Linked DNA regions of Macaca mulatta. The protein of the gene in region 1 purifies or fractionates together with the protein of each later gene. This does not show direct contact. Links are inferred from orthologs where the notes say so. Each region holds a gene or a part of one and is shown in the gene's direction. Other genes may lie near its edges.

What was found.
Region 2: the proteins of TMEM259 (region 1) and ERLIN2 purify together in Homo sapiens (affinity purification with mass spectrometry; 3 studies listed by BioGRID and IntAct, with this or other methods). This does not show direct contact. The link is inferred for Macaca mulatta from reciprocal best matches to the Homo sapiens genes TMEM259 and ERLIN2.
Region 3: the proteins of TMEM259 (region 1) and TMUB1 purify together in Homo sapiens (affinity purification with mass spectrometry; 3 studies listed by BioGRID, with this or other methods). This does not show direct contact. The link is inferred for Macaca mulatta from reciprocal best matches to the Homo sapiens genes TMEM259 and TMUB1.
Region 4: the proteins of TMEM259 (region 1) and RNF185 purify together in Homo sapiens (affinity purification with mass spectrometry; 3 studies listed by BioGRID and IntAct, counting the BioPlex papers as one, with this or other methods). This does not show direct contact. The link is inferred for Macaca mulatta from reciprocal best matches to the Homo sapiens genes TMEM259 and RNF185.

The regions. Positions count from the first base shown.
Region 1 is NC_133424.1:1,680,038-1,684,585, reverse strand, and holds the start of TMEM259 (membralin), read left to right. Parts: upstream 1-1,414; 5' UTR 1,415-1,560; coding exon 1,561-1,785; exon of another isoform or gene 1,786-2,507; intron 2,508-2,632; exon of another isoform or gene 2,633-4,548. UniProt on the Homo sapiens protein: May have a role in the ERAD pathway required for clearance of misfolded proteins in the endoplasmic reticulum (ER). Promotes survival of motor neurons, probably by protecting against ER stress.
Region 2 is NC_133413.1:39,669,551-39,673,411, forward strand, and holds part of ERLIN2 (erlin-2 precursor), read left to right. Parts: intron 1-1,534; coding exon 1,535-1,596; intron 1,597-1,750; coding exon 1,751-1,876; intron 1,877-3,861. UniProt on the Homo sapiens protein: Component of the ERLIN1/ERLIN2 complex which mediates the endoplasmic reticulum-associated degradation (ERAD) of inositol 1,4,5-trisphosphate receptors (IP3Rs) such as ITPR1.
Region 3 is NC_133408.1:190,517,989-190,522,300, reverse strand, and holds the start of TMUB1 (transmembrane and ubiquitin-like domain-containing protein 1), read left to right. Parts: upstream 1-1,160; 5' UTR 1,161-1,185; intron 1,186-3,954; coding exon of another isoform or gene 3,955-4,288; exon of another isoform or gene 4,289-4,312. UniProt on the Homo sapiens protein: Involved in sterol-regulated ubiquitination and degradation of HMG-CoA reductase HMGCR. Involved in positive regulation of AMPA-selective glutamate receptor GRIA2 recycling to the cell surface.
Region 4 is NC_133415.1:20,361,000-20,365,471, reverse strand, and holds the start of RNF185 (E3 ubiquitin-protein ligase RNF185), read left to right. Parts: upstream 1-1,575; 5' UTR 1,576-1,677; intron 1,678-1,754; exon of another isoform or gene 1,755-2,058; intron 2,059-2,793; 5' UTR 2,794-2,906; coding exon 2,907-2,938; exon of another isoform or gene 2,939-2,946; intron 2,947-4,472. UniProt on the Homo sapiens protein: E3 ubiquitin-protein ligase that regulates selective mitochondrial autophagy by mediating 'Lys-63'-linked polyubiquitination of BNIP1.

The DNA.
Region 1 (4,548 bases):
CTTCTCTGCCAGGTGGGGTGGCTCACGCCTGTAACCCCAGCACTTTGGGAGGCCGAGGCAGGTGGATCACGAGGTCAGGAGTTCAACCCTGTCTCTACTAAAAATATAAAACAATTAGCTGGGCGTGGTGGCGGGCGCCCGTAATCCCAGCTATTCAGGAGGCTGAGGCCGAGAATTGCTTGAACCCAAGAGGCGGAGGTTGCAGTGAGCCAAGATCACGCCACTGCACTCCAGCCTGGGCGGCAGTGAGACTCTGTGTCAAAACAAACAAACAAAAACCAAAACTTTTTTTTGGGTGGGCTTGGTGGGTCACACCTGTAATCCCAGCACTTTGGGAGGCTGACGCTGGCAGATTGCTTGAGCTCAAGAGTTCAGACCATAGGCAACATGGATCTACAAAAAACCCTGTCTAGACCGGGCGTTGTGGCTCATTCCTGTAATCCCAGCACTTTGGGAGGCTGAGGCGGGCAGATCACCTAAGGTTGGGAGTTCGAGACCAGCCTCACCAACATGGAGCAACCCAGTCTCTACCAAAAATACAAAATGAGCTGGGCGCGGTGGCGCATGCCTGTAATCCCAGCTACTTGGGAGGCTGAGGCAGGAGAATCGCTTGAACCCGGGAGGCGGAGGTTGCAGAGAGCCGAGATCGCGCTTCTGCACTCCAGCCTGGGTGACGGAGCGAGAATCCGTCTCAAACAAAAAAAACCCAAAAACAGAAACCGTAGTATCCTCTTATGTAGGCAGGAGGGACTCAATACGTGCCCCTGAAGAGCATTTACTTACTGTTGCCCGAGGGCTACAGGGGCAGGTGCTTGAGTGGGGACGGCCAGATTGTCCTATCGCCAACCTCTGGTGCCAGGGGAGATGGACATCCGGGGAGTCCGGGGAAGGGAAGCAAAACGAGCTGACCAGCTGCGGACTATAAGCAAAAATATGGAACGCTTCACGAATTTGCGTGTCATCCTTGCGCAGGGGCCATGCTAATCTTCTCTGTATCGTTCCAATTTTAGTATATGTGCTGCCGAAGCGAGCACGACTCAAAAGTTCCAGCTACGGTTATTTAAAGGCCTTCAAACTAATTACCTTACAGTTAGGAGAACTTATGGTCAGTCTTATGTTTAGCATAACTTCCTACAGTTGTATATTGCCAAATAAATTCTCTGCTTGCACTTACTTTGAGTGTCTTCCGTCACGCAAAATCCCATATTTTATCAAAATTTTACCGTCTTATACTGGCCTCCTAGACGCGGTGGATTGTGGGTGCAATATGCAAAAGTGGTGGGCCGGATGTAGCCTCGCCCCCTGGCGCAGGCCAGGGCGGGGATGAAGCTTCCCCGGGCGGCCGCTGGTATCCCAGCGTTCCCTGCAGGCGCAGGGGGGCCGCTCTTGCCCGGCGTGGCGACTCGCTAGCGTCAGCAGGGCCGCAGCAGGACGAGGAGGCGGAAGATGGCGGCAGCGGCCGGGCGGCCGTAAGGAGCGCGGCGGCGGTAAGGGCGGCCGATGGCGGCCGGGAGGCGCCCTCGGACACCTGCGGGCCGTTAGGGCGCGACGCTGGGCGGCATGTCGGAGCACGCGGCGCCCGGAGCTCCGGGGCCCGGGCCCAACGGCGGCGGCGGCGGCCCGGCCCCTGCGCGCGGGCCTCGCACCCCCAACCTCAACCCCAACCCCCTCATCAACGTGCGCGACCGGCTGTTCCACGCGCTGTTCTTCAAGATGGCTGTCACCTATTCGCGGCTCTTCCCGCCCGCCTTCCGCCGTCTCTTCGAGTTCTTCGTGTTGCTCAAGGTGACCGCGGCGCCGACCCCCGACCCTTGACCCCAGCGCCCGGCCTGACCCCCATGTCTGCGACCTGCGACTGCGGCCCCTGGCCTCGCTGGGGACACCGAGCGCCACCCTGCACCCCGAGGCCTAGATCCGACCCTACCGGTTAGGGTCCTCCCTCGCGACCTCTGACCCTGGGATTGGCCAGGGACACCGTCTCGTGACCCCATCCCGCCCGGGGACGTACACCCGGGAAGGCCGGTTGCCACTGCACTAGAAGCCGCTGTTCTCTGGAAACCTCCATCTCAGCCCCCTCCAGGGACCATCCTGTCCCCGGCGACCGCCTTTCCCAGGTCCCTATCTACCCAGGCTTGGAGCCCGGTCCTGGCCTGCGACGGAGCACCTCCCGCCCTTTGACCCCTGACTCTGCCGCCTGTGACCCTCAGTCCCCAGGCCTCTTTCCACTCCCCGTGTGCTGGCCCAGAACCCAGTCTGACCCAGGGCTCCCTTGGACCAGCCCCAGTCCTGGAAGTCCACTCCCCACTCTTCCTCCTGGTGGGGCTCTCTCCCTCCTTGTAGGCTTCCACCTGCCCCCACCTCGTTCCCCTCTCCTGAGCCTCAGGAGAATGTGACTTAGCTGAGGTCACCTCCCTAGGGTTAGCGGCAAAGTCACCGGCAGCAGCGTTCCAGCCCATCCCCGGCCTCCTCCGCTTGGTCCCCATCCCCTTCCTGACCCAGGAGTTCAGGTCTGTCTCCCGTGCCTCCTGTATGAGGCACCGACCTCTGCGTCTTGGCCTCTGTCCCCCTCCTGCCCTTCTCAGATGGCACAGAGGTCTCAGCCATGCAGGACTGGCCTGAGTCCCTCTGAGAAGGAGTCTGTCTTGGGTGACAGGAGGGGCTCAGCAGCAGGTGCAGCCACTCAGAAAACAAGTTGGCCGGGGTCCTGGACCACCTGGGGAAATGGAGACATGGCCGTTTTTGTTTTGCATCAGAACACCGCAGTGCTGGGGCTTGGGGGGTGCTGAACTTGCGCCGTGAGCTTTTTGGAGCTAGTCTGCAGAGAGGGGGCTGACTCTGGCGGGCCAGGCCTGTTGGTCAGGAGCCGGCTGCTCTTTTGGGCTCAGCAGGTGGAGCTGGAGCTTGGCCGTCCTGCAGACCTGCGTGTGGGTCCCAGCCTACCGCCGCCTCAAGGGAGGCCCCTTAGCCTCCAGATCTGTGGCCTCCCCAGGCCAGAGCTCAGCCCGTCATCCTTCCCACCTTCTTCCTCCCTGCAGCCCCCCAGAGTGGCGTGGTTGCCTCTGGGCATCAGAGCAGGACTGTGAAGGGTTACTCGGGCAGGCGGCCTTTCCCTGCTCTGGGGTCCACAGACGGGACCTGAAACTGTGGACGGAGGCTGGTCTGTGGACGTGGGTTTTCCTTCCATGGAGTAGCCTGGGTCCAGGATGGAGCCGCTCTGTCCTTAGCTTTGTGGAGGATGTGTGCTGGGTGCCAGGCCAGGTGCCCCCGACAGAGCTCAGCCTCCCTGGGAGGTGCATCCCTGTTGCCTGGGCTTCCGTCCCACCACGTCCCAGTTTGGAAAGGGATCAAGCCTACCCAACTCTATCTCCAGGCAGGTGCCACTCACAGGTGGTCAGATGGGGCTGGGCCAGAGCTGGAGGTCCCCCCTCTCCTGTGGAGGGTGGAGATTCTGGGGAGGTTCTTAGCGCCCCCCATCCCTCCTCTCTCAGCAGGGGGCTCTGGGCTGCGAGATCTCTGGGTGGTGATTTTTTTTTTTTTTTTTGAGATGGAGTCTTGCTCTGTCGCCCAGGCTGGAATGCAGTGGCTCAATCTCGGCTCACTGCAACCTCCACCTCCTGGGTTCCAGCAATAATTCTGCCTCAGCCTCCCGAGTAGCTGGGACTACAGGCGCCCGCCACCACAACCAGCTACTTTTTTTGTATTTTTGGTAGACATGGGTTTTGCCATGTTGGCCAGGCTGGTCTCAAAACTGATTTCAGGCGACCCGCCCACCTTGGCCTCCAGAAATGCTGGGATTACAGGTGTGAGCCCCCGTGCCCGGCCTGGGTGGGGAAATCGGTTCGTTGTGAATTCTCCACCGGGTAATCTGGTGGTTCAGAATCTGACCTTGCCGCCTTCACTTTTACTTATCTGCAAAGTGCAGGCTAGGACTGGCTCTCAGAGGCTGCCTTGAATTCCAGAAGGCTCTTCTGCTTCCTGCCCACCCGGCTTCCGGGGCTCTCCCTGCAGAGAGCCAGGTCCTCCCTGGTGCGGTCCCTTCAAGGTTTCTTCATTCTGTGGCCCCTGTGCCCCTGAGCTCCCAGCCCTGAGCTGGCATGGAGCCCCCCGGCCCTCCCCCATGCCTGGGTGGCTTCACGAAATGCCAGGAGCTCCCAGCCCTGAGCCAGCACGAGGCCCCTCAGCCCCTCACCCTTGCCTGGGTGGTTTTAGGAAATGCCAGGCAGTACCAGGTGCTGGGGAGAGAAGAGGCGGCAGGGGCCTGTGTTCCAGAGGCCCTGGGGAGACCTCCCTCCAGCCTCAGCACCCACCTCTGCTGGCCTTCATGGCCCCGAAGCCAGCGTGGCAGAGACCGTCCATCCTAGGGTGCTGTCACTGGGTGCCCGCACCTGTGCAGTTGGGCTCCGGACCCAGGTGACCACTGAGTGGATGCCCACAGGGTGAAGGGGGTCTCGACTCAGCGCACTGGACATGGGCAAGGGCCCACCCCTAGCCACGGGGAGTAACGGGGCTCCTCTGGTGGGGTCGTTGTGAGGATGAAAGACAAGGTAT
Region 2 (3,861 bases), on another chromosome or scaffold:
GAAAAAAAATAAAATTTTAATGTTAAAAACAAAAAAAAGAAGTGAGGACGCACAAAGGTTTTTAGCAGATAAATGACCTGATACAAGAAGATAACTTTTGCATAACTAAGGAGAATGTCATAAAGTTAGGGGAGACCTTCAGGGCAAAGAGATCCGAAGAGAACATTACTATAGCAGTCCCACTGGAAAGCAAAGAGAGTTTAAACTGGGATAGAGTAACAAAGAATACCACAGAGAAACACTCTGACAAATCCGGAATTGGAACATCCCACAAGATCACAGGCCTGATCTCTTCACAAAGTGGTCGTATTTAGAGGGATGCTGGATTGAATGGAGACTTACAAGAGACATAAACAGAAGCAAGGGTGAGCATTGATTAGAACCCGGTTCAAAATTAACAGCTATAAAAGATACAATGGGAACTGTGTGAGTCCACTCAGGCTGCCATGACAGAGGACCACACACCAAGGGACTAAAATAATAGATATTGTCTCACCATTCTGAAGGCCCAAAGTCCAAGATCAGGGTAACAGCAGGGGTAGTTTTGGTGAGACCTCTCTTCCTGGCTTGCAGGTGACCACCTTTTTGTCATGTCCTCACAAGGCCTTTCCTCTTGTGTGCAAGAAGAGAGAAAAAGGTGTCTGGTGGATACCAGACCTGTTGGATCACAGCCCATCCTTATAACCTGTTTAACCTTAATTACCTTCTTAAAGGTCTAATCTCCAAATACAGTCACATTGGGGGTTAGGTCTTCAACATATGAATCCGGGGGCGAGGCATACACAGTTCAGTCCATAACACAAACTGTTGGGGAAATCTGAATAGGGACTGGGTATTAGGTGATATTACAGAATTACTGCTAATTTTCTTAGGCTTGAGAATGATATAATGAGTGTGTAGGAGAATGATCATTTTAGACCATGCTCGCCAAAGTAAAGGAATAAAGTATCCTAACTGCAGCTTACTTTGAAATGTTTAGAAAAAAAAAAAGGCCAATAAATAAGGTAAAATGTTATCAGTGTTGAACTCAGGTGTCTGGATATGGATGTTAGTTGTACTATTCTTTCAGCTTCTCTATGTTTGAAATCTTTTTATAATAAACATTTGAGGGCAAAGGGAGTGTGACACTAAAGTAATAGTGAAGACAGTTTAAGAAACATTGACCATAACATTCCATAGTAACCTTGTAAGTTCTAAAAACTTCACCTTGACCCTCCTTAGTCTTTTCTGTGCAACTGATTAATCAAAAGGCATTGCTGATTCCAAAGATATGAGTTACTCTTTCATACTGTTCCCCAAAAGTCTCACTCGTGTCTTTGTAGAGATGTTCCTAGGCAGTGTGATTTCTCAGGAGAGTATGTTGTTGCCATGAGCCCTGCAGAACCTCCTGCTTGGAGATCCAAGCTGCCTTACAACCTCCTGTGAACTCTTCTACTCCTTTTCTGCCAAGCCCACATCTTACACCATCGCCCTGGGGGACTGCACCATATCCCAGAGCTTCCCAGTGACTTCTTGTCCATTCTCCCTCCAATAGTGGTGGTGTGATGATCTACTTTGACAGAATTGAAGTGGTGAACTTCCTGGTCCCAAACGCAGGTACGTCTTAACAGTTTATTCCCACCACCAGCTCACTTTCCCCAGCATGCCACTCCCGTGTCTGTTGTAGCACCTCGGAAAAGGAGAGCTGCTGTGTCTGAGGGCATTTTGAGTCTTGCCTTTTCTTATGCCAAGCCCTCTCCTTCCCTCTCAGTGTATGATATAGTGAAGAACTATACTGCCGACTATGACAAGGCCCTCATCTTCAACAAGATCCACCACGAACTGAACCAGTTCTGCAGTGTGCACACACTTCAAGAGGTCTACATTGAGCTGTTTGGTAAGAAAGTCTCTCCTGAGCGTGCCATGCTTAAGCCCATGTGTCTCCACTGCCTAGTGCCTGGCTGCCTGCAGGGTGTGATGGGCACTTAGGGACAGGAAATGTTAAAGAATCTCGTGCTCAGGAGCTGGTCACAAAGGAATTCCTGGAGAGTGCTGATGGCAATGCAACAAGATCCTTAGAGGGCTGGAGCTTTGGGCACAGGGATCGTAGTGGAGTAGAGTATTCACTTCTGGCCTCAATCAGATGCTGGAGTGGAAATGTGTTTCCACTGTCCCTAAACTGTCATTCAGTAATGAAGACAAGATCCATTCTAGAAGAACTGCAGAGATTTTCCAGCCCAGCATCCTCATTTTAAGATGAGGGTACCGTGACCCAAAGCGAGAAAGTCGCAGAGCCAGGTGCCAGTTAGTAGTGGAGCTGAAACAGGAGCTTTCCTCTCCTGGCTCTTCAGCATTCCTCTCACCATGCCACACTGAATGGAGGGCCCCCAGGAATGGGTGATGAAAAAGACATGATTCCTAATTCTAGAAGTGTGATGAGAACCATAGTTCCTTCCAGTTCCCAGAACCTTTGTGATTATTATTTTTTTACTCTGTACCTGTAGTGACAAATAGAAAAACACTTTAAACAAAAAGACTCCACGTGCCTAAGTAGATATGTTTTGTACTTATTTTTTTTTTTTGAGACAGAGTCTTGCTCTGTCGCCCAGGCTGGAGTGCAGTGGCGCAATCTCAGCTCACTGCAAGCTCCACCTCCTGGGTTTACGCCATTCTCCTGCCTCAGCCTCCCGAGTAGCTGGGACTACAGGCGCCCGCCACCTTGCCCAGCTAGGTTTTTTTTTGTATTTTTTAGTAGAGATGGGGTTTCACTGTGTTAGGATGGTCTCAATCTTCTGACCTCGTGATCCGCCCGTCTCGGCCTCCCAAAGTGCTGGGATTACAGGCTTGAGCCACTGCGCCCGGCCTTTGTCCTTTTTACCTTTTTCAAAATAAAGGCAACCTGACTTAGCAGCAAAGGAAGGACACAGTTGGGTAACTGTTACAACCTGTTTGCAGTCAACTATTCTGTTTAAACTCACTGCCAGAAATTCTCTAATAGCCAATGCCAAAAGTAAATGAATTTTTAACCAAGTATAACTATTCTTGACACTAGGACTGGAAAATGATTTTTCCCAGGAATCTTCATAAAAGGGACCCTGAGCGAGAACATTTTTCATAGCAGACAGGAGGAATCATCCACATCGCCAACAATCATAATTAAGCAAACCACCTTTTGCACCATTTAAGATTTAGGAAATCATCCAAATTACTTTTAATGTTTCTGCAGTAGAAAATGAATCTAAATTCATTTTATAGGGTTTGTAGTCTTTTATCGGTTTGGGATTCAGTGTGCTTTTAAGAAAAAGTTGGGCCGGGCGCGGTGGCTCAAGCCTGTAATCCCAGCACTTTGGGAGGCCGAGACGGGCGGATCACAAGGTCAGGAGATCGAGACCCTCCTGGCTAACCCGGTGAAACCCCGTCTCTACTAAAAAATACAAAAAACTAGCCGGGCGAGGTGGCGGGCGCCTGTAGTCCCAGCTACTTGGGAGGCTGAGGCAGGAGAATGGCGTAAACCTGGGAGGCAGAGCTTGCAGTGAGCTGAGATCCGGCCACTGCACTCCAGCCTGGGCGACAGAGCAAGACTCCGTCTCAAAAAAAAAAAAAAAAAGAAAAAGTTGGTAAATTTGCCATTGATTTTTTTTTAACCTCAAACTAATAGAATTGTATAAAATATTAATTCTCTCTAGCCATTGTCTTAGGGCTTGTGCCATTACATGAACATTTCAAAGCACTGAAACAAAAGACCAAGGATCCCCAATGTCCCTGGAGAGAAAATTAAAATACAAACTTGTTTTTCATTAGAAAACTTACTTTCTTACGGCTAAAGTTGGTAGCTTAGTGAAGTACAGCTGCTTGTATGGAGAAGCTGGGGAAATATATTTG
Region 3 (4,312 bases), on another chromosome or scaffold:
CAAACACTAAAACCCCAGGTGTGCTTAAGGGCTGAGGGCTGCGGGCTGCCAGGGCGTGTGCCGTTTTTTTTTTTTTTTCTTTTGAGATGGAGTCTCACTCTGTTGTCCAGGCTGGAGCACAGTGGTGCGATCTCGACTCACTGCAAGCTCCACCTCCCAGGTTCACGCCATTCTCCTGCCTCAGCCTTCCGAGTAGCTGAGACTACAGGCTCCCGCCACCACGCCCGGCTAATTTTTTGCATTTTTAGTAGAGACGGGGTTTCATCGTGTTAGGTCAGGATGGTCTCAATCTCCTGACCTCGCAATCCGCCCACCTCGGCCTCCCAAAATGTTTGGATTACAGGCGTGAGCCACCGCGCCCTGCCATGTGCACCATCTTACTCTCCATCTGAGCTGCCACCCAACTGTGGTCACAGCTGTGGCCCCTTCTCTGTCTAGCTGAGGCTTGACCCAAACAAGAAACCACCACATCTCTTTACCATAGTCCCTTTAGGATGTCACCAAGCCCACAGCCCAGGGCAGGCAATCTGTGAACTGAATGAAAGTGAGTGGGTAAGGGTGTAAGTGAGAACCCTCTGGTGGCCAGGCCAGGCTGGCTGGAATGCTCAAAGTAACTGTTTAAAAAAAAAAAAAAAAAAAAGCCCTAGGGGGAAAACAATGGAGAAACTTGAGCAAGTCACCCAGTTGACAAAGCCCAGCTCCGGCACACACAATAGTAGCCATATGGCACACACACACCTAATAGGTCCACCTCCACTTCCAGCTGGGGAGCTCCTCCGGAACTGCCAGAGGGGACCCCAGCCCCTCCCCCAGCCCCTGCTCCTCCTCTGTGCGGGGGCCCTCACCTGCACACACTGACTGGGACCAGCAGACCTTCCCAGGACCTGCTGGATCCCAGGCTGCTTCTCCCAACAGCTTCTCGGGGCTCCTGGCTAGCTTGGTCCAACTTCCTGCACTCCACATGCCCAGTGTCCCCATTTGGACTGAGGCCCTGGTTCTCCTGCATCCTTCTTTCTAGGACTCAGCCAGGAAACCCAAGCTGTCAGGGAGCGCTCTCTGTAGGTGAGTGCCAAGCAGGAAGCGGGCTCCTGTTGAAGGCCCAGACTCTCTCTGGCTGTACCCGCTTGGCTCCCTTCCTTCTCTGAGCCTCAGTTTCCCCACTAGTGAGGTGAAGGTAGTTCAGAGGTTCTGCACATAGTGAGCCCTCCAGCTCTCCCTCCCAGCTGAAGGTGGTACTTCTTCCACTCCCTCAGCCCAAGTAATGGGCAGGTTTCCTCTTTCCTTGGCCTCTGGTGGGAAAGGAACTTTTCAAAATGGTCTCCCTCCCCTCAAATCCTGTCCTGAAACACAGGAAAGCCAAACATCCCCTGCTTCCTCCTGCCCTGGACACAGGGTCAGAAGTGACTATGAGTGGCAGAGAGACTACAGGAGGCCTAAGTGCCCACTGCACTTCCTCAGAGCCGAATGGATCCTGACCGCAGGTCCCACGTCACCTTCAGAGCTGGGACAAACAAACCCTTCACCGAAGTCTAAACAGTGGGGGAGGCTTTGTTATACACTCGGAACATGCCGCCCCTTTCCACGGAGAGGCTTACCCCCAGGAAACATAGGAGCTGGCTCCCAGCTGACACTGTGTTTATGTAACAGCCTAGGTCTGTTCGACCCTGGGGCTGGGGGTGGAGGGCTCAGTCTCAGTCCAGCCTCAGAGTGTGCTCAGAAACGCCCAGGGAGTCTGCGCCTCTCCCTCCTTGCAGAAAGAAGGTGGGGACGCGGCTTCGCAGGACAGAAGCAATATGGTTTGGCAGATGGAGAGGAGTTCTATCGCAGGAAGGATATAGGGCAGAAATTGAAGAAGGAGTGTTTTTTTTTTTCTTTTGAAGACTGTCTACAGCAGAAAAGTGGGAACGCAAGAGAGGTGAGGTGGATAAAGATGATGGTGCCAGGAGAGGCTGGGCAGGGGGGAGGGAGGGAGAACAGGGCAGCAGGGCCCAGGAGTGGGAACAGCAGGGCTGAGAACGGATGTGTGAGCCGCAGCTGGGTCGGTCTGGTGACAATGAGACACCGGCTCCCAGGATTTCACGAGGGTGAGGCCGAGATTCCAGGCCTAGTAGCTGGAACCGTGGGGTATTTCCAAACCGCAATGGAGAAGTTGGTCAGGGGAGGGCTCTAGGAGGGGAAATTCTGCCTGTTGTGTTAAATTTAAGACGAGGCAAAAAACTCAAGGGCGCCCCAGGAATCACAGCCTTCACATCACAAAAGATGCTCAACCAGAGGCTCCCCTGAGCTGGGGAGGAGGGGTCGCTGCTTATCAAGCTGGAGCGCTGGGGAGCCCGGAAACCTGTCCCTGCTCTGGGAAAAGCTCGGAAGCAGATGTGCCCCCACCCTCCTGTGGCCAGCCCACGAGGCTTGTCGCCCTCCAGAAGGAGCTGGGGGAAGGCAAGCTTGGAGCAAATCAGGAATGTCTTTACTTCCTCCAAGGACAGTGAAGCTGCAGCAACGGTCTCTCCCGCCTCCACCCTCTTCAGATCTAAGAGGAAAAACTGGTCATCTTCTCTCTGTGGGGCCCAGGGCTCGCACAAATGCCATCTCCTAGTCCCCAGCTACAGCGGTGATTCAGGCCATTTACTCAGATCCACGTTAATGAGATTTTTCTGTCACCTAATTAGTTCACAGAGAACTCAGCCTTGAGAGGAAAGAAATAAGAACCGGTTGGGAAAAGGCAGAAGGAAGTCAGACTGCCATGTCACAACAAAAGATAGGACCCAGCACTACATGGGGTCCCCCCAGACCCAATACTCCTTCCTCAGCTATGGGGGCCTCTGAAAGTAGAAAGGGAGGTGTTCAGGTGCACTACCCCCCAGAACCTCAGGCAAGCAGATGAAGCTGGGAGTGGGGCCCTAACCTTAAGGCCCAAGTCAGGAACAGGCCCCTGCCCACAACTCCATGTTATGGCAAAAGGCCTTGGCTCTCGCTGCATTTCCACGGAGGCCAAACCCACCACCTGCCGGTGGGCGTCCCCTTTCAAACAGAGCTGGGGGAGGAAGCAGATGGCCCAGGGCGAGGCCCATCTGTCCGTGCCCGCTCGAAGGTCACCATGCCACTGGCCTGATTGCGGGTGCCGCCAGCACCCACCACACCAGGGCTTGCGAGCCATCTACCAGCAGCGTGCCCCTACTTCCTGTGCCCTCAATGGTCGAAAGTCCAGGGCCTAAGGGCCCAGAGAAAAAAGCGCTAGGCAGCGCAGTGGCCGGGGATTTCCAGTCCCCGACTCCGGGTGCGGTGTCCCTGGAGGTCAGTCAGCGCCCGGCTGCCCCGCGGCTGCCTCCAGACCGAGGAGCCGCGGGTCCCTGGCGCGCTCACGACCCGGCCAAGGCGCGGATGGACCTGCCGGCGCCTCCCACGCGGTCGCGGCGCCGCAGCCCAGCGCCAGGCCCGGCCCGCGCCCGCTTGGCCGCCGCGGCGTAGGGGGTGTGCGTCGGGAGAGGGCGCCGCGGCGAGCGCCACCCTCCGGGCCTGCGGGCGCTGGGCCAGGGAAGGCTGCCATCCACTAACGCGAGGCTCCGATCCCCCGCCCCACTGCGGAGCAGGGCCCGGGCAGCGGCTAAGATGCCTCCCCGGTCACGGCCCCACCTCCCGGCAGCTGAAGCCCTCTGCCGCGCCCACCTTCCCCGGCCAGGCCTGGATAGATCTGGTCCTGGCCCCCCGAAGCGACACCACCTTCGCGCCCTGGAGCACAGTGAGCAGAAAACCCCCAACCCCAAAGTGTCCCCGAACGAGATATGGCGAAGCTGCCCGCCGGTTCTGCAGCACAGATCGGCAAACCTCGTGGCCTGGACCTCAAGCGCGCAAGGACCCCCGACAGGGAGAGCATAGCCAGGACCGGCCCGTGGAGCCCTCGACCGGAGCCGGAGAGGCCACCGCGCCCCTGCTCCCGCAGCCCCCGGCTTCGCTCACCCTCGATGGAGATGACGTGCTCGCGGATCTGGTTCTGCAGCGCCAAATCCTCGATGCGCTCGATCAGGTCGTAGATGGCGTAGATATTGGGATGCACGGACTCGAAGCGCTGGATCTCGGCCCGGATGGCCGCGGAGTTGGAGAGCGCGAACTGCTGGGGGGGCCCGCCGGCCAGCTGCTGCGAGGGGACGCCGCCGCCCCCGGCCCCGGGCCCCGCGCCGCCGAACTGCCCGCCGCCCCCCGCGCTGCCGCCGCCGCCGCCGCCGCCGCCCCCCGGAGCCGCCAGGCTCTGCTGCTGCTGCGGGCTCTGCCCCCCGCCCGCCTGGAAGTTCATGGCTTCGGAGCCGTGGGGCCTGAG
Region 4 (4,472 bases), on another chromosome or scaffold:
ACTAACTAGTGGTGTTAACTTTGATCACTTTGATCCGTTTGTTCTGCTAGGTTACACCTCTGTAACATCACCGTTTTCCCTTTGTAAATCAATAGGTAATTTGTGGGAGACACTTTTACTGTTTTAAACATCCCATTTCTATAGTTCTACCACACATTATTGATTTTCTAATTCCACCATGTTTTGTCATACCCTACCTTGTTTTAACCTGATGGTCTCTCTTAGCTGAGAGAGCCAGACAGACTCCATTTTAGTTCCTTCACTTACAGCCCCTTTACCTCCCTCCCTTAAGGGCATAACTAGAGTAAACTGACTCAAAGCATGTCCAGAAATGCACTTACTGATAAGATACTGAGGCAAGCTGCACCAGCAGCTCCTGGGGATGCGCTCCCTGGATGGCACCCAAAGCCCCTGCATTTCTCTCTTTGTGATAGTTTAAGCCCCTGCACCTCGAACTGTTTATTTTTTTGTAACTGCTTTTGTAACCAATTAATTTTTTAACTTTTTGCCAGTTCTGCTTCTGTAAAATTTTTAGTAGAGACAGGGTAAAAATTGCTTCAGCTAAACTCCCCCCTCCCCTATTTAGACCACGGTATAAAAACAAAACTAGCCCCTTCCTCGGGGCCGAGAGAATTTCGAGCGTTAGCCGTCTCTCGGTCACCGGCTAATAAAGGACTCCTGAATTTAGCTGTCTCTCGGTCGCCGGCTAATAAAGGACTTCTGAATTCGTCTCAAAGTGTGGCATTTCTCTCTAACTCACTCGGTTACAACAGTTTATTAGTTGGCATTCTACTAAAAGGAAGACTTTCCCTTCACCCATTAATATACTCACTTCTTTATGTCTGTAAAGACTCATGGATTACTATTTTATTCAATTAGTTATACTGTATTACTATTACTCCATATTTTGATTCTGAAATTGCCCTGACTTGGCCAGTGGGATCTCTTTAAAGACAGCTCCTGTGTTCTTTGACATATTCCCATGATTCTTATTACCATCATCCTTATATTCTGGTGTAACAAGATGTTCCAAGTTTATCTGGTACTTTCCGGAATGTTTTCTTCCTTTCTCTTTCTTTTTTTCTTTTTGAGACGGAGTCTCGCTCTGTCGCCCAGGCTAGAGTGCAGTGGTGCGATCTCAGCTCACTGCAATCTCCGCCTCCCGGGTTCAAGTGGTTCTCCTGCCTCAGCCTCCCAAGTAGCTGGGATTACAGATGTGCGCCACCACGACCGGCTAATTTTTGTATTTTTAGTACAGAGGGGTTTCACCATGTTGGCCAGGCTGGTCTCGAACTCCTGACCTCATGTGATCCATCCTGCCTCGGCCTCCCAAAGTGCTGGGATTACAGGTGGGAGTCACTGCGCCCGGTCGGAAATCAGTTTTTTTCTTTCAGGAGCCCCGAACCCAAGTTCTTTGAAAAGCTGCCAAAGAGCTCCAGGGTTCCTCCGCTTCCTGCCCGCAGGCGGAACCTTAGAGTTTAGGACATGGAGATAAACCTCTTCCGGTTGGGGCCGGAAGTCCCTCCGAGAGAGGCGGCTTCGCGTCATGTGACTGGAGTCCGCGTAGGAGGGGTCAGAGGTCCTACCCAACAGATTGACGCGGCGATAGTATTGGCCGTGTAGCCGAAAAACTGATTGACTGGGCGGCCTCCCACGGCGTTAACTGCGCAGAGGCAGGTATGTGAGGGGCTGGGGTTGGGGCGGGGACCGCCAAGGTTTAGGGACGGGGGCGGGAGACCCGGGTCCGCCTTCCCGGGACACACGGGCTTCAACATCTGAGCCCAGGGGCCCAGAGACAGCAAGACCGGTGGTGCCTCTGGTCCCCGAAAAGAGGACGGGCTGGCGTTGTGGTTCTGCGTCCCGTGATTACAGATTGGGGAAACTGAGGCCTTGAGAAAGAGAAGAGCTCCCACAAGCTCTCCTTTCGAGGCATGGGCACTGATTCCCATTCTGTCCCCCGTGCGAGGCCGCCTGTATCATCTGGGAGTGCATTTCACGAGTTTGCCCTGAGTGGAGAAGCAGAGGCCGGGGAGCGCGGTGAACAGAGTTGGGCTGAGAGTAAGAGACCTGGATTCGAGACTTCTCCACCGACAATTTTGCGTTCTGGGCCAAATCTCTTTCCTGTGCTGGGCCTCAGTTTCCTCGTGTCTAAAACGGGGCAGTGTTTCTCAAAATATGGTTCTTACACCATCTGCTTTGAAGTGCCGGCTTTACAGTGCGGGACTCACTTCAGACTTCTGGTTTAGAATCTGAACTTATGCCTAGGAGGGTCCTGTATATACTGATGTTTGAATCTCATTGATTTTAAGTGCTTTCCTGCTGTGAGCACTAGATATCCATTCTTCGCTTTGAGGCAGCTGGTGCCAGGTCAGGAACTTTGAAAGAACTGGAATGGTTAGCTCAGTAAAGACAGCACTGGAAGGGAATTAACTTTTTAAAAATTGAAAATAGGCCGGGCGCGGTGGCTCAAGCCTGTAATCCCAGCACTTTGGGAGGCCTAGACGGGCGGATCACGAGGTCAGGAGATCGAGACCATCCTGGCTAACACGGTGAAACCCCGTCTCTACTAAAAAATAGAAAAAACTAGCCGGGCGAGGTGGCGGGCGCCTGTAGTCCCAGCTACTGGGGAGGCTGAGGCAGGAGAATGGCGGGAACCCGGGAGGCGGAGCTTGCAGTGAGCCGAGATCACGCCACTGCACTCCAGCCTGGGCGACAGAGCGAGACTCCGTCTCAAACAAAAAAAAAAATTGAAAATATTGTTAATGGCAAAGGGGACTTCCACTTCATCTTTAGGCTAAAAGAGGCAGAACTAGGACTAACAGGTGAATTCTACAAGAAGACAAGATTTTTGCTTAATAGAAGAACTTAAATGGAAGAATCATCAGAGTTGACCAGCGATGGAGTGAATGGATTGCCTCCGTGCCTCCTTTCGAGAGAGGTATATAGGTATTAGATGAAGGTCCTTTCCAATTTGAAAGTCTGTGATTCTAAGGAGTTGTTCTGCATCTATCTGGTGCTGACTCTGCCCTTAGGGCAAATGTGACTTTTTTCTTCTCTCTTTTCTTGACACTTCCATCACTTTAGCCTACATCTCCTGTAAATAAGGCCAATGCCTCTGACCTTACGTAATCTCTTCCTGGTTGTCCTGGGCCCCATCCTTCTTTTCAAGGACTTTGATTTGATAGACGCACCTTAAATGTTTGTTGAATGAATAAGTAAACTGGGTCCCACCCCATGGGTTAGTAGCTTTTTTCTAAGAACAACTTGGAAATGCCTCTGAAGATTTTATGTTTGACCAGGAGAAGCCAGTGAACTCTCAGTCACAAAATTGAGGACTCCCAGTTGGGAGGACCCCTTGAGGTTGTTCAGACCAGCCTTCTCCTCCCTGAAACATAATCCCTGCTTGAATCCTCTCTTCAGCAATATGTGTATACATGTGAGAGAGTTTTTGCAGTCTGTTGGCTAGCTTTCCGTGCATCATATAAAAACAGTCCTCTTATAGACTTGACTTGCCAGTTCGCACACACCACCAGTTCCAGCTAATTTTGTGTGTGTGTGTGTGTGTGTATTTTTTTTTTTTTTTTTTTTGAGACGGAGTCTCGCTCTGCCGCCCAGGCTGGAGTGCAGTGGCCGGATCTCAGCTCACTGCAAGCTCCGCCTCCCGGGTTCACGCCATTCTCCTGCCTCAGCCTCCCCAGTAGCTGGGACTACAGGCGCCCGCCACCTCGCCCAGCTAGTTTTTTTTTTTTTGTATTTCTTAGTAGAGACGGGGTTTCACTGTGTCAGCCAGGATGGTCTCGATCTCCTGACCTCGTGATCCGCCCGCCTCGGCCTCCCAAAGTGCTGGGATTACAGGCTTGAGCCACCGCGCCCGGCCGTGTGTGTGTATTTAGTAGAGATGGGGTTTCACCATGTTGACCAGGCTGGTCTCGAACTCCTGACCTCAAGTGATCCGCCTGCCTCAGCCTCCCAAAGTGCTGGGATTACAGGTGTGAGCCACTGTGCCTGGCCTCTAGCATACCTTTAGTTTTCTAATCAAACATTATTATGTCCTTATTTTGTGCATTACAGAGCTCGCCTAAGTCACTTTTTCAACACCTGCTAGAATGCTTAGGAATGTTTATGTTATCTTAGGGAGCAGAGGCTCCATATTATGACCCAGTTCTGCTGACTTGCTCCCCTGCCCCCACAAAAAAAAGGTTAGGGTTGAGCCAAAACTTCCTGCCAGTGTTTATCGACTTGTATTTCCCAAGATTAAAAAATAAAAAAGTTGTGAAATGCTTATTCAGATCTTATCCAGGTACTGGGTAAAATGATCTTAATTTGTTGGAGTTTTTAGAACTTCTTGATCTAAAAGTTTCCTTTTAAAGAAGCATCTGAATTAACATTCTCATAAGTGTGTTCTTCAGGCCACTGGTCTGAAGAAATGGCTCTGAAAAAAGGATTTGATGCTAACAATAAGTTTGAGAAAG